2 linked regions of the Bombyx mori genome follow. Each later gene encodes a partner of the first gene's protein in a complex. Links are inferred from orthologs where the notes say so. Each region holds a gene or a part of one and is shown in the gene's direction. Other genes may lie near its edges.

What was found. Proteins that work in one complex are often made in the same cells at the same time.
Region 2: CXXC-type zinc finger protein 1 (region 1) and WD40 protein share a complex: the UniProt entries of both Drosophila melanogaster proteins name them as parts of the SET1 complex. The link is inferred for Bombyx mori from reciprocal best matches to the Drosophila melanogaster genes Cfp1 and Wdr82.

The regions. Positions count from the first base shown.
Region 1 is NC_085131.1:9,124,232-9,131,845, forward strand, and holds the end of CXXC-type zinc finger protein 1, read left to right. Parts: intron 1-301; coding exon 302-465; intron 466-722; coding exon 723-849; intron 850-1,337; coding exon 1,338-1,442; intron 1,443-1,699; coding exon 1,700-1,886; intron 1,887-2,097; coding exon 2,098-2,295; intron 2,296-3,179; coding exon 3,180-3,386; intron 3,387-3,737; coding exon 3,738-3,985; intron 3,986-4,632; coding exon 4,633-4,738; 3' UTR 4,739-4,807; downstream 4,808-7,614. Other genes in the region: GSTz1 (glutathione S-transferase zeta 1), read left to right, coding at 5,630-5,638, 6,165-6,345, 7,328-7,446. UniProt on the Drosophila melanogaster protein: Component of the SET1 complex that specifically di- and trimethylates 'Lys-4' of histone H3. Essential for Set1 association with chromatin and trimethylation of histone H3 at 'Lys-4' at transcription puffs.
Region 2 is NC_085110.1:8,526,288-8,534,137, reverse strand, and holds WD40 protein, read left to right. Parts: upstream 1-3,754; 5' UTR 3,755-3,818; coding exon 3,819-4,766; 3' UTR 4,767-5,833; downstream 5,834-7,850. UniProt on the Drosophila melanogaster protein: Component of the SET1 complex that specifically di- and trimethylates 'Lys-4' of histone H3.

The DNA.
Region 1 (7,614 bases):
ATTCTAATTAATATATACAGATTTGATGTTGAGTTCACAACTAAGAATGACACAACACCAATTCATTTAAGATATGTCTTAAAATTTATCACAGTTACAGTATTACAAAAAGTAAGTAAAAGGTAAATAAAGGAAATTTGATGACTGAAAATCATACTGAATCTTGTATGCTGTGACAATGAGACAGTGGTTGTTCAATTGGCCACATTGATGTAACTCAGTAGTTGAAATATATTCTGCTGATATTTAACTATTATTTAAAACCTTTTAGGTATACAGTAAAAAAGTTTTTTTTTTTCAGAGCATGTGATGCATGCGAGGAATGGTATCATGGTGATTGTATCAACATTTCTGAGAGAGAATCAAAGTACATCAAGAATTACTTCTGTGACCGATGTAGAGAGGAAGATCCGACTTTGAAGACAAGGTTCAGACCACAAAAAAGAGAAAACGAGGTTGATTCTGGTATAAATATTTTTTTTGTCTAGTTTTTTCTATACTGCTACATTTATTAGTATTGTATGATAGGACTGCATAATAAAATTTAAATCCTAGCATTGCATTACCTTAAAATAGATGTATGAAGTATGATTGATTTTTATCTCTCAATCAATTTGAACCGTGACTCACATATTGGTTGAATAAAACTAGAAACCGAAAGCCATTAAAAAATAAAAGTTAACATAAAACGTTTTTGTTATTGTACCGTGTTTCTTTTGTAGGTCGAGATGATCGAAAAAAGCAGCGGAAAGAAAAGGATCATTCGGAAAATAAATCTTCCAAGAGAACTATAATAAAAGATGGTTGTGGAGATTGCCCTGGTTGCTTACAAGATTACGATTGTGGCCAGTGAGTATACCTCATGCCCCATTTATCGGATTTTTACTGCAGTATCTACCAACAGCACTACAAAAAGATGCTATTGCTATCAATAGATCATAGACAGACATTCACTTTGTAATTTTTTAAATAGTAATTTTGAAGAAATGAATTAATGCAAAGTATGTATATATAGTGTATATATAGTGATTACTCATTTTTCTACATGAAAAAGTGCTTTAATCAATATAAATTTCTAACTTTTACAAATTGATATTAAAAGATATAAATATTGATCAAAAATTTGGATTTCTTTTGTTACACTTTAAGTTAACTGAATTGTACCCAAACATTGTTCATTTAAAGTAAATATTTAGATTTAATTCAAGAAAATTTACATATACAATAAACAGATACAATCTTTTGTTTCATTTCATAACAGTATTGTTTCCAAACATTTTCCCATTGTTCTTTTGTCGTACAGAAATGTATGATCACTATAATGGTTTTCATTGCAGTTGTGATGCATGTGAGGAGATGTTCAAATATGGAAGTGCTAATAAAAAGTTCAGGTGCAAATTGAGAGTTTGTGTTAAAAGTAAAAAATCTTCTAAACCACCCAGGTAAGCATTGCTAGATTTTAAAAATGTAATATTATTGATTCCGCATATAACTGTTAAAAGGGCTCTGCTTTGCTGTAACTAAGCTACAAACATAATATAACAACCTTATGTCATATTCTGTTGAAACAATACTCTTGCCATCTGACATACTTCAATGGAACTACTCAGAGCTTCTACTGATGTATGAGCAATAAGTAGAAATAAAAGTATTGGAGTTAACTGACGGATTTTGAAATTGTAAATGAAATTGACAACAGCAGTAGCAGAATAAAGAAGAAGCATCATGAACGTGAACCGTATGAGCCAGAAGAATCGTTGGCGCATCTACAGACGGCGCATGCGCGTCAGTGCTACGGACCGCAGTGCACGTTGCCCGCTCGGTACTCCTCGAAGTACTGCTCCTCACAGTGCGGGATAAGGCTCGCCACTTCCCGGATATACCAAGTTTGTTTTTTTTATTTTCATTTGTATTTCGCAGACATGTGAGAATTTTTTCCTTTTTTTTTCAAAACTTTCTATTCCTGGCTGGTTTGATTACTGCCTAATAGCTAAAGACGGTCGCTAGTATTGGAACAGCACCTAAATGACAAATCTATATTTCATAGTTATATGAGGAATGCCTGGTGTCAATTGATTCAATATAATGCTAATTCAGGTGCTCCCACAACGAATACAAGAATGGTCGTTGTCGAGCTGCGTTGCCGAACAGAAGAACCGCAAGGCACTAGAAGTGGTACGCAGCGGGATCGCTAAAGCGCAGGCCGCGCTGCGGAGTCTCGACAAACAGCACACAGATCTGGACGCACTGCTCGCCAAAGCTAAAAACGCTACAATTCTTCATACGGATGATAAGGTACAAAATTGTTATTTAAAATAGAAATTTAGTGGCTTTTCAATGGATTTTAGAAGAAAAAAAAGTGTTATTTGAGGACGTCAGCACAAAAGTGGCCTAAGCTTACCATAGTTAGTATGGAGATAATGAGGTTCGAATTTACCTTTACAATACTTCGTAGCCAAAAAAAAACGTGATAAAATAATGTTTACAAAGTCATCTGTTATCTATGGATTGAAACTAACTTTTGCATCAAAATTTATTATGTTTTAAATAAATCACAATACATAAGCATGAATATGAATTGTGGGTTAAGCCACTTTTGCGTTGACAGCCTCATTTTGAAGGTGTACTTTAAAACATAAATACTTAAATTGTCTTCGTCCTGATACTTTATTTTGTATATACATTTATATGTTTTTTTTTTTAAATCTTCCATCAATACTTTTCAAACGGATTTGTTCACTTATACTAATATGTTCAATATATTGTCATTTAATAATAACTAATACAATATTGGCTAATAATATTAACTTTGTGTGACCGAAATAACATTGAAAAGTATGAATATTTCTTTACCTGCAAGGGACTCATGTGTTCTGTTTTAATCACTTTTTAATATAATCTACAGTGACGTAATATCTCAAATTCAGTAGCAGTAAAAAAGTTGCAATTTGTAAAGTTTGCTATGCCACAATATCGTGAAGTCTGAAATTCTTTTGCTATTTATAACACCTAAAAAAAAAACCATTGGCCTTTTAAATCTTTTAACTATCCTTTCAATTATGATAATGTATTGAATATGAAAAACAATAAATTGAAATTTATGTTCATTGTAACTTTTTGGTAATTAAAATTAATTTTTGTTATCAAGAATTTTATTAATAAAATAATTTTCGCAACAGGACGCTGACGACGAAACCTCAATGTACTGCATAACGTGCGGCCACGAAATCCACTCGAGGACAGCCGTCAAACATATGGAGAAATGTTTTATAAAATACGAAGCGCAAGCGTCTTTCGGCAGTCGCCATAGGACGCGCATAGACGGACAAAGCATGTTCTGCGATTATTACAATCCTATCAATGCAACATATTGTAAGAGATTGAGGGTAAGTGTCGATGTTTAATGACCCAAGACTAAAAAAAGTACGCGTACCACGCTTTTTTACAATGTAATATTTTTTTCATACACTACCTATTTTTAATTCAAATTTATTAAAAAAATTTTCTATTTTTTAGTTGGATTTTCTATAAAAAACGTTTTTTTTTTGTTTTTTAAACAATTTTTTTTTCATTTTTTATTGTATTTCAATTTTTCCAGTTTTTTTTAAATATTGCATTGTCATCGGTCCTTAATAAATATGCCAAATTTCGAATTAATCTGACGTTTTGAAGGGCGTCAAAAGCACACATACGCCTGAAGCTAATAAAAGCGTATTAAAAATAAACAAATTCGTCAGGTGATGTGTCCAGAACATTTTAAAGATTCCAAAGTGAGCGACAGCGATGTCTGCGGGTGTCCGCTGGTCCGCAACGTGTTCGATCCGTCGGGCGAGTTCTGCCGGGCGCCCAAGAAGTCGTGCTTGCGTCACTACCAGTGGGAGAAGCTGCGTCGAGCCGAGATAGACATGGAGAGGGTCCGGCAATGGTTGAAACTCGATGAACTTGTGGAACAGGAGCGTAGTATTAGATTGGCTATGGCTTCAAGGTATGGAAACAATGTTACGGAAACACTTTTGTCTATTTTTTATTTTTATTTTTTTAATTAAGGTCAAAATGTTTTCTTTGTCGTCCATTTTCCTCAGCTATTTTTTTTAATACACTCACCAGATGTGAACCTAATGTAGTTTCTTTATGTAAAACAGTTCCTACGATTATGCGCAATACAGTAAAGTTTCAGAGAAGGTTTTTGGAACATACCATCCGGCTCAAGAATAAACATCCCTTCAATGCGCAAAAATTCAAGCGTTAAAAACCTCTACAGTATTGCTTATAGTAGTGGGCAGCCATTGTATTGTAAAATTGAGATTTCGAATTCATGTCTGAAGGTTGGTGGCGGTATTTATGTTGTTAATGTCTATGGCCCATTTACCTTTTGGTGGGCCGTGAGCTGGTACATTTATCTAAGCTATAAAAAAATTGGCTCCTTTACCTATTATAGTGAAAATCAAGTACATTTAACATGTCTTGCGTTTAACTTGTCTTGTGTGTGTTAATCTTAAATTCTAAATGTTACTTTACTCAAGCTGTTGACTGAGCATTCACGTCATGAGGCTTTTGGCCGTGAGGTAATTCGCCGAGCTGGACTTGTGTTCTGTATCAGATTTAAAAAAAAAGTACTGTTTCATTTTGTAGAGCGGGCGTACTCGGTCTAATGCTACATTCTACTTACAACCACGAAGTCATGGAGCGAATCACAAATAAGGTTAACGAAAACGGGCTACACAAAGAAGGATCCTGACAGTCTCCGGGCGAGGGACGCAGTTGATAGAAATTGTAAATTAAGATGTAAATAAAATCATTGCTTAAATGTTTTTGGTTTTTAATAATTATTATGGTGACCCTCATAGGTACCACCGTTCTGCCTGCCTGCCTATACCATGAAGCAGCCCTCCAGTTCGCATTCAATGGTCGGGCGTCATTCAATAAAATTGAACCTTTGCCTCAGGTTCATGAACAGCAACCACTTATGTCCAGTTGGGACGTGGACTCATTCATCTGGGGCAAAAAAAAAATTATAAGTGCAAGATATTTAGCCCCAAAAGATGGCCATTAGAATATCTTCAAACTATTTTTCCCTTACGTAATCGTTGATAGCCTAAGGGGCTATTCCAACTAGAGTAATACAGGTCTGTATTTGTCTGTAGTTTTTGCAATATTGTGGACAGCATAAAGCGGTTTTGGTAGGGTACAACTAGTTTTTACTATCTACTGTAGCTATTAATTTAGCTAGTATTGCTACTCTTCTCTTCTCAAAGAGAAAGAAACTGATCGAACAGTTCCAATATCACCTAAAACACACTAGTCAGTGAACTAGTTTATTATTTGGTCTTTAATTTGTGTACAATTGTTATATATTCAGTGGACCACAAACCCAAATAATTGCAAACATCAAACTTGGTATACCATGGTGGTACCGTATACTGCACAGATTAAACTTTAAAGTGCGTTGCCTGATCCGGTTATAATCTATGATTGTTGCTACAAAAAAGTCATTGGAGCTTCTTAGCGTTTGTTTATAATCTCATCTTTTATAAATATTCAAACTTAGCGATTCTTGTCTAAAAGGACAAACAAAACCGTCAAAATTACGTACTATAACAAATATAATGGTTCCGTTTCATCCTCTGCCATGGGCAAGGTAAGTCTTATAGGAGTTCATACGGAGCGTATAAATAAAAAATAAATAGGTAACAACATTAATTTATTTACATTTACATACTGGACTATCTTGACATTCAAATAAACTCGGCAAACTGGAATCACCAGGTTAAATATAGCGACTATCGTGCTCTCGGCTAAGTACTACCAGTCTATCTTATCTCCTCGAACTGTGTGATATAAAATGAGTGATCCTATTGTTGAAAACAAGGTAAAAAAAAAACATTTAATTAACACATAACATTTCACGTATTTACTGTACTTTCATGTTAGAAAAGATTTGTTAAATACAACCTGTTGTTATGTGTTAAATAGCCCTGAAATTAATTTAATATATTGAAATAAAAGGTGTTTCAAAATGTTTTTCACAAGTATTTACAATAAACATAACTATTATATTCTATAGACTATATATTCTTATCTGATGTTTTAATAGGACTTTCCAAACTATTACCAACCATTTAAATATATAACAAAAGTTCCAATTTGTTTTATTACTTTTTAAGCAGCCAGTATTATACTCATACTGGCGCAGCTCATGCTCCTGGCGAGTTCGCATAGCACTCAATCTTAAAGAAATACCATACGACATAAAGGCTGTCAGCCTGATTAAGGGAGGCGGAGAACAACACTGCAATGAGTATAGAGAAGTCAACCCTATGGAGCAAGTACCATCTTTATGCATTGGTCTGTAGTATAAATATTTTACTAAATTAATAAGTTTAATATTATTTTACAATAAATAGATTATGTTTGAATTCAATTAGATCCGTATAAGAGTGTCAGAAACTTTATACTGTGAACTAAAATTTATTATAAAATCATTTTTAATTTTAAACCAAGTATAAATAGGAAAATTCCAAAATCTGTCTAAAATTTTGGTAGAATCTTGATTATTATGCATATTAACAAACAAGTTTCTAAAATGTTGTCAAGAATGATATTACGTAAAGGATAAAAATAAAAATTTATGACTTCCTCTTATTCACTAACATTCATTTGATTGTGATAAATATTATTTTTTTGCTTAGTATCATTAAGACACTAAGGTGCAAGTGTAGTCATCAAAAATTGATGTATTTCATACATTATATTGATAGTCACAGCTGAACCTCAACAAATTTAAGTAATTTGAAGTCGTCATGGCCTAAAGGATGAGACGTCCAGTGCATTCACTTTGAGCGATGCACCGGTGTTCGAATCCCAGGCGGGTATAAATTTTTCTAATGAATTACGTGCTCAGCAAATGTTCACGATTGATTTGCACGGTGAAGGAATAACATTGTGTAATAAAAATGAAACCCGCAAAATTATAATTTGCGTAATGACTGGTAGTAGGACCTCTTGTTAGTCCGCACGGGTAGGTACCACTACCCTGCCTATTTCTGCCGTGAAGCAATTATGCGTTTCGGTTCGAAGGGTGGGGCAGCAGTTGTAACTATACTTGAGACCTTAGAACTTATATCTTAATGTGGGTGGTGCATTTACATTGTAGATGTGCTTCAGTAACCACTTAACACCAGGTGGGCTGAGAGCTCTTCTACCCAACTACGCAATAAAAATAATAAAAAATATTAATTTTAAAATATTAAACATTTTAAGTGAACCAAAACAATCAATACTTATTATAAAATTTTAGTGTCATTTTGCTTTGTGTTATGATTGACAGATGGGCACACTCTAATTGAATCATTAAACATCATGCATTATTTAGAGGAGACAAGACCACAGAGACCTCTTATGCCGCAAGATTGCTTTAAGAGGGCAAAAGTTCGTGAAATTTGTGAAGTAAGTACATATTTAAACTGGTGGTAGGACCTCTTGTGAGTCCGCGCGGGTAGGTACCAACCACCCTGCCTATTTCTGCCATGAAGCAGTAATGCGTTTCGTTTTGAAGGGTGGGGTAGCCGGTGTAACTATACTTGAGACCTTAGAATTTATATCTCAAGGTGGGTG
Region 2 (7,850 bases), on another chromosome or scaffold:
AACAAGAACATATTATAATGAGTACTTACTAGTACTTATATGTAGTTTGAATAATTAATTTTTTCTTATAATTTTTTCAGTACTTACATTTCTTTGAAATGATAAATTGAAGAAAGAGTTGGTAAAGATAGCATAATTCAATATATTATGTGTATAATCTATGGTAAAGACTATTGTTTTAATCGGGACAGCTGTCACATAATAACCTTTATTTATTTATTTATGGCCAATGGTTACAAGATCATAAAGCCTATCTTAAATTAAATTTCACGCACGGAGCACGTAACATTTTACAAGTAGTTATAAAAAAATTGGTGCTTAATATTAATCGTTTGTTTCGTTTGTTTATTTTCTTTATCCCAATACTGCCAAAAAACTGCCAAAAGCTAAAATGAGTCCAATCCTGCCAAAATGGCAGGATCTTGCCACATATGGTCACACTAATCGAGACCATAGGTAGTAGTAGTTTTATTTTTGCAATTGGAAAGGCAAAGGTATCATACGATACAGCCTAATCTTTTATATATATTTTTTATACGTAAAATGATATTATGAAATGAAGTTGATTAATATGAAACATGGCATAAAATGCAATGAAATGAAAACGAAATTAAATGAGATGAGATGATTTGGGATGGAATATAATTTCAGTAAAGTGGTCGTCATTTACTGAGACTTTTTCAGTTGACTTTTTGGAGGATCTCGAGAAGTTACGTCCAGCGGCTTTGTTTCATTTTTCCACATTTGTGCACTTTCACACAGATATTGAACAGTTAATAAACCACCGTTATTACACATTTAAACCTGAAGAAACACTAAATAGACAAAATAAAACAAAACACACAACGTCACTTCTCGCGTTCCCGCCAAAAAGTCAGACCATAGATAATACACTTAATATAACGAGACCACGCAGAATTAGATCCATTAAACTAGAGCACCCTGCGGTTTAAAAACGCTAATTTGTTGTTTTGAAAGAATGATACAAGTTAGATTTTCTTAGGCAGATCTAGTAAATCGTAAATGGATTCCAGCGTTAAAAAAAACAGATGTAGTTGTAGATGTAGATGGTTGGCATTCATAAATATATATATATTTTTTTTATTTTTCATTTTATTTATTAAATATAGATTGATTTAAGAAACTAATTTAAATATTTTCAAATATTTACTGTAGTTGTTTCCGTCTATCTTTCAGCCCACAGATGTCCACTAATAGGAATAGGCCTTTTCCAAACCTCGTCACAGCGATCAGTTCTACGCTGCTTGCATCCAGGGATCTGAAGCTATTTTTACTAATTAATTGAAAAAGTTATTGTTTTTCAAAGTTGAAATTAGAAAAACGTTTTGAGCTTATCAGAGTGAAAAAGAGAGATCATATATTTCATTGCAATTTGCACACAATTAACTTTTAAAAAAAGCAGTCAACAAGTGGATGTATTTGCATAATAAGCGGTTTTATCGCTAAAAACGATTTCTTCCAGACAACAGATTTATTTACAGAAATTTTGAACAGATAAATATAGAACAGGTATGTTACGGTGTTCTATTAACAAATACATTACTATAGAAAATACATACATAAAGTAAATTGAAAAATATTTAAAGATTTATATACCAATATACTTACAAACTAGTACACATATTGAATCAACAACATGGAAATGATAAAGCATATACAAACAAATAACACTAAGCAGTAAAGCAGACAAGTAATGTTCCTTCATCATTCTTATAAAGCATTTTATTTCTCTGTCTATTCGCTGGTAGACTAAGAGGCTATTTCAGCTACGTCCGGATGGGTAGTTGAGCTCACAAGCTCAACTTGAGATAATTTGCTAGCATTAGCCTTAGCAAGAGCAGTGTTTTGCTGAATCTGCTACCGGAATGGAATTGCGACCCACTGAGAAGATCCGGCGTATCTGCCGGTTCGTTCGCTCGTGAGAGTGCCCGGTGCTTGTGGGTCCGAAAAGCAACAAAAGTGAATCCGGGGAATCCAACAAGACGTGTTTCGGGCGACGGCGGCTTTGCGTTGCCCCGTGCGTCGCGGTCTGTTAAGTAACTAGCGGCGGCCACGATAATAGGGTTTTCGTGTCACGCCGCTTTATCAAAATAGCGTTCTGATGCATCTTTAAGATACTTACGTATCGATAGGTACTAGATTTAGGTCGGCGTGAAAATTGCATTCCTCATATCACGGTGCTCCGTAGGCTATCCTGCAGAAACGGGATTGGATGACCTATAGAGAGCTAATGTGTGTACGGGCCGCGTGAGCGAACACTAGACTTGCATAGATCATGACAGAATGTATGGAAGCTAGTAGTAGTAGAGTGTCACCTTGTTATGAAGGGACAATTCACTTCGCTTGCAGATCATGGGGTCGAGACGACCGAGTACCTGGCTGAGTCTTTGCTCGCCCACCTGTCCTGGCGAAGCTGGAAAGGCCTCCGGGCCACCAGCAATCTTTCAAACATAAAAAAAAAAAAAAAACGACCGGGTAGGAACGCGGTTCGGTCGCGTACTGACTTAATGTGGGGTCCGAATGCCATCTCCCTGTCGAGAGTGACGCCTAATTCCGTAGCCTTCGAAGCTCACAGTATGGGCTAGCCAAAGATTTTTATGTCGGGAATTAAGTTACCGCGCCTAATTTTTTAACGAGATACTAGCAGTAGTATTGGGATTTTGAAGCGTTTAATATTTGGAGCACTTCCAACTGCAGCTGGCAGTGCATTCCACAATCGACTAATTCTCTGTTTGAATAAAGTTAATGATGACGTTATTTCAGTACAAGCAAAGGTCAAATATATTATATTAAAATTATGTAACGGTAAAAAACATTATTTTTCATTAAAAATAGTCAATGTCCGTTGCAGAAGCATATTATGTTTTCGATGGAAGATTAAAAATTAAATTTGGATAGGAATTATACAAAATCTGTCAGGAATTTAGTGACAACCCGTGAAAAAGAGAATAAGAGGGGTTGTGTTGTTTTGCGGATGAATTTCATGAACAATCTTCTGACAAATAAAAAGGATACAGGTTTTCGTATGTAAGTGATCGCTATACAACATTGTGATATACATTGAAATGTCTACCGAACGTTTCATGCGCGGTCGAAAATACTCAAAGATTCATAAATTTCCATTTAGAATTATGTTCTCACTTGTTCTTGAACGTGCTGTGGAACATTAAATTGAACACGAACAAATTTTTTTTCCCCAACCGTTAAAAGTATCTGAAAATCAGGATTCCTCTATTCTTGATTATGAATTATGATTATTTTTTTGGGCTAGTGGGCGTACTCCCACACGAAATCCCCGCGCCAAGGAGTTGCGAGGGTTATGGGACTGCTAGATGGGGTGGGCACCTACTAAGCGAGTCCCTTGCACACTGGCCCGAACGTCCGATACGCGTTCAAAACAGAACCCAAGAGAGGTAGAGGAAGAGTTTACCGTGGTCCACTGCAACCAAATCCGTAGCTCACCCAAAGAGGCATTAAATTTGCAAATAATATAATCTACACAATTTCACTCTTGGCGTTTCAGCCAAAAAGTAATTTCATCATTTTTATTGTGAGGTATCAATCGAGTTCTTTGCAGACTTTGGTTTCTGGCTAGAAAAGTGTCTCTGGTGCGTGTCATTATGCGTCATAGATTATACCATAGAGCTAAATAAAATTATACTTATATTATGTAGGTACATATGTGCATACCGCCTAATATTACTATAAAGCTACACTTCAATTATTGTACGAGGCTGTCTTTGTAATTTATTAAGTGTGAAAATTAAAGAACAAAAACATCGGTTATATGCATAAAAATGATGAAACTCGTTGATCAAGTTGTCCGAAGCTTTAAAGTTGCCAAAGTATTCCGTGAAAATACAGACAAAATTAACAGTATAGATTTTTCTCCTAATGGGGAGACATTGATTTCATGTAGCGAAGATGATCAAATCGTTATATACGATTGTGAAAAAGGAACACAAATGATTACGGTCAACAGTAAAAAATACGGGGTCGATTTGATACATTTTACACATGCCAAAAACACTGCAATTCACAGTTCCACCAAAGTAGACGACACAATACGGTATTTATCCCTTCACGATAACAAGTACATTAGATATTTCCCAGGGCATACAAAAAAAGTTGTGACAATGTGTTTATCCCCGGTTGAAGACACATTTTTATCTGGATCATTAGACAAAACATTACGACTGTGGGATCTTCGGTCGCCTAATTGTCAGGGACTAATGCATTTATCTGGAAGACCTGTTGCAGCTTATGACCCTGAAGGTCTCATATTTGCAGCTGGCGTTAATTCCGAGAGCATCAAGCTTTATGATTTGAGGTCTTTTGACAAGGGCCCCTTTGTCACATTTAAATTAAACCAAGAAAAGGAATGTGATTGGACAGGTTTGAAATTTTCCCGTGATGGCAAAACTATGTTAATAAGTACCAATGGGTCAATAATTCGTTTGGTGGATGCATATCATGGAACTCCACTTCAAACCTTCACTGGACACTTAAACAACAAAGGGATACCTATAGAAGCATCTTTTAGTCCTGATTCCCAGTACATCTTCAGTGGTTCAACAGATGGTCGTGTTCATGTCTGGAATGCTGATACTGGTTACAAAGTATGTGTCTTGAATGGTGATCATCCAGCACCTATACAATGCGTACAGTTCAATCCTAAGTTCATGATGCTGGCATCAGCATGTACAAATATGGCATTCTGGTTACCCACAATTGATGATGTTTAATTCTTTATATAGAAAAAGTAGACCAATACTTTGAATAATTCCTCCAAGTACCTAATCAATTTTAATGTATATTGTAATGTATTACTTTTTTGACCATTTATAAACCTAAGTTATGTAGTAAGTGTCATAAACAAAAAAATACTATTTGTTTTATTAAAAATGAGGTTTAATATTATGCTCTTACTCTTAGATTAGTAAATAGTTGTTTATGTGGATGCATACAATAAAAGTCACTTAGACACTATGACCTTTTTGTATTGAACCCAATAAACTATAATATCTAAAAGTATAAAAAGACAATATGTATTAAAACAGGACACAGGTTGTGTTTGGTACACAATTAAAATAGGGTTGTCCATGGATATAGATAAAATATGTAGTAAATCTATGAAGCATAATAATATAGGGAATGAAGATAAAATCTAGATACTGAAGAAAATTTACTGTGAAACTGGTCTTTGGTATGTCCATAAAGTAGAACCATACTCATTCAGTCTTTTGGCCTGTGTTACATTATATTGAATTTGGTATGTGGCGGCTTGTGGCTATGCTCATGGGTTTGTTGAAATTCATGAGTATTGATAACCATTTACCACTACGCCTTTGATGAAAATCAGTTCAGAAAATGAAACATCAATAAGAGCCAAGGCAAGAGTTATACTAAACCTTAGGGCAGACCAACAAACTGGAGAAGCAATTGGTCCAATAAAAAAAAAAGAGCAAGATCCCAACACACTTATTCTAATGTTGGAAGAAGGAAAAGGGAGATCAAGAAGAATCATAACTGAAGGAGTTGCGAAAGGTGAAAACAAAGGAAATTGTTAGAAAAGATCTCTATCAGGAGGCACTGAGTTCATCTAATATATAAACCTACTTCAGAAGATAATATCTATTATTTAAAATAGTCAATAAAAGACATCATCTCATTTTTCTATTAGAAAACCCTCAGATAAGTAGTTTATTACTATAGTGGCTAAGTCAATTGATAAACAATTTTGTGACTTTATTATTCCGTGTTTTTAAAATATAATACATAATTGTGCAACAGAAACTAATGGATAGGAAATAATTATTATTATGTCTATTCTGTGGCTATGATGAGTAAAATAAAATAATTAGTTTATAGTTTTCTTTTAATTCATATTTCTTCATTATCTTATTATTTAAGGTACACTAAGTTTTTTGCATAAACCATCAATAAAACAATCTATATATATTGAAAGCGTTCTCCATTGCATTATAAACCTTCACCAACCTATTTCAAAATATAATGTCCATGATTTCAGAGCATATTTTGCATATCCTCCATTGCAGCTTCACCTCTTTTAGCTCCATATTTAATTTTTGCCAAAAAAACCCACATAGTTCAAGTGTTTGACTATGATCGAAGTGGTTCAAATCTCCTCCTATTTAGAACCCAAGAATTTAATTAATTAATTTAATTTAAGTCTTATTCAAAGTTAACTTTCAATAATGAAAGGCAAATGCATTTTACTATATCACCAATATTAACTGAATTTTGTACTTCCAAGTGAATCCTGTAGGCAGGACTATTCCTACTCTCCATACTTGTTACTACATTGTTTTGCTGTTACCTTTTTGAATGTACCTAATTATATAAACCTTCCTTCTTCTGTAGCAGATTCAACTATTCATGTGGTAAATTGGTGGTGCATTCAGCATTTCACTGTGCTTTACATTTTTTTAAACAAACCAATTTAGATTTCGGGCGAGTTCGTGGATAATCCGGCGGCAACATTTTAACCTTTAGATATTTTTTTCAAATGTCGTCAAATCTCGTCCCGAATGATATACAGGACATATAAATAAGACGATATCTTCCTAAAATAATTTCCAGAGACGAACAGTGCAATTTAGTGAGTAAACTTAAAATCTCAATAAATCGACTTAATTTTTTTTGCGTTAATTTCAAGATTTGTTGTTATGCAAATACGGCAGAAGACGAATTTAAAGGGTACAAAAAACAATTATATCGATTAAAAGAAAAATAATCATAATTGATCATCTCCGAACCAAAGTTAAATTGAATTATTGCATTTATTGCATGTAAAATGTAAATCTTATCGAAATCTTGTTTTTTTTTAAGGGATTTTACGACCTGGTAACTAAGTCCTTTAGGACAATTCTTATTTCAATTTATATTCTTATTTTTATGAAAAATGATTGGTAGTGTGGAGTAAAATGAAATAAACAGAAGATAATTAATTTGAGTCATTAATCAACTGGGATGAAATTAAATGAAATGGGATGAGATGATATGAAATGAGATGAGATTATTTGGGGTGAAATATAATCTCAGTAAAATGGTGGTCATTTACAGAGATTTTTTCAGTGGACTTTTTGGAGGATCCCGAGAAGTTAGGTCCAGCAGCTTTGTTGCATTTTCCCACGTTTGTGCACTTCCACAGATCCCCGTCAAACAATCACGTCCCGCAAGCTCGCACGCACGTCTGCTCCGCATGTTCCAGGTATCATCAAGATTCACCCCCAACAAGGAAGAGGAAAGAAAAGGAATAAAACTGGCTCTCCAACCCACACGCCGGAACACAGCTAGGCTATTTGGCGGCGAACTCACTCAACTATGGAGGGCGGTCGCCAGCCAGTCGGACTAGTCCTACCACCGATTATGTTTTCGACTCCCGTTTAGCACCACCCAGGGGTCATTTATAGGGAATCGCGGGTTAAGCCTACGGAAGCGGGAAGCAATCGACCCCCAAAAATCGACTGAATTCAGAAGCAAATTTATAAGCAAGTTAGAAGCTTTCGATTACACTGTTCTAAATTCAGTTACTGAATCAATTGTTAGTTTAAGCGCGACGAAGTTGGGCGTGTCGTGTGTGTAAGAGGATGGCCCCACTATTGTCTAGACATTAAGTGTATAATCTATGGTCTAGACAACACAAAATTGGTCTTGGCGTAACCCTCGCTATCGGCTCAATTGAAACAAAAAAAAAGAAAAAGATTAATATGGTTAAAGAAATATTTATTGCTGCGCGGAAAGTTAGCAAATATGAAGATTATGAGTGATATAATTATAACCAGCAGACTTCAGAAATTATGGAA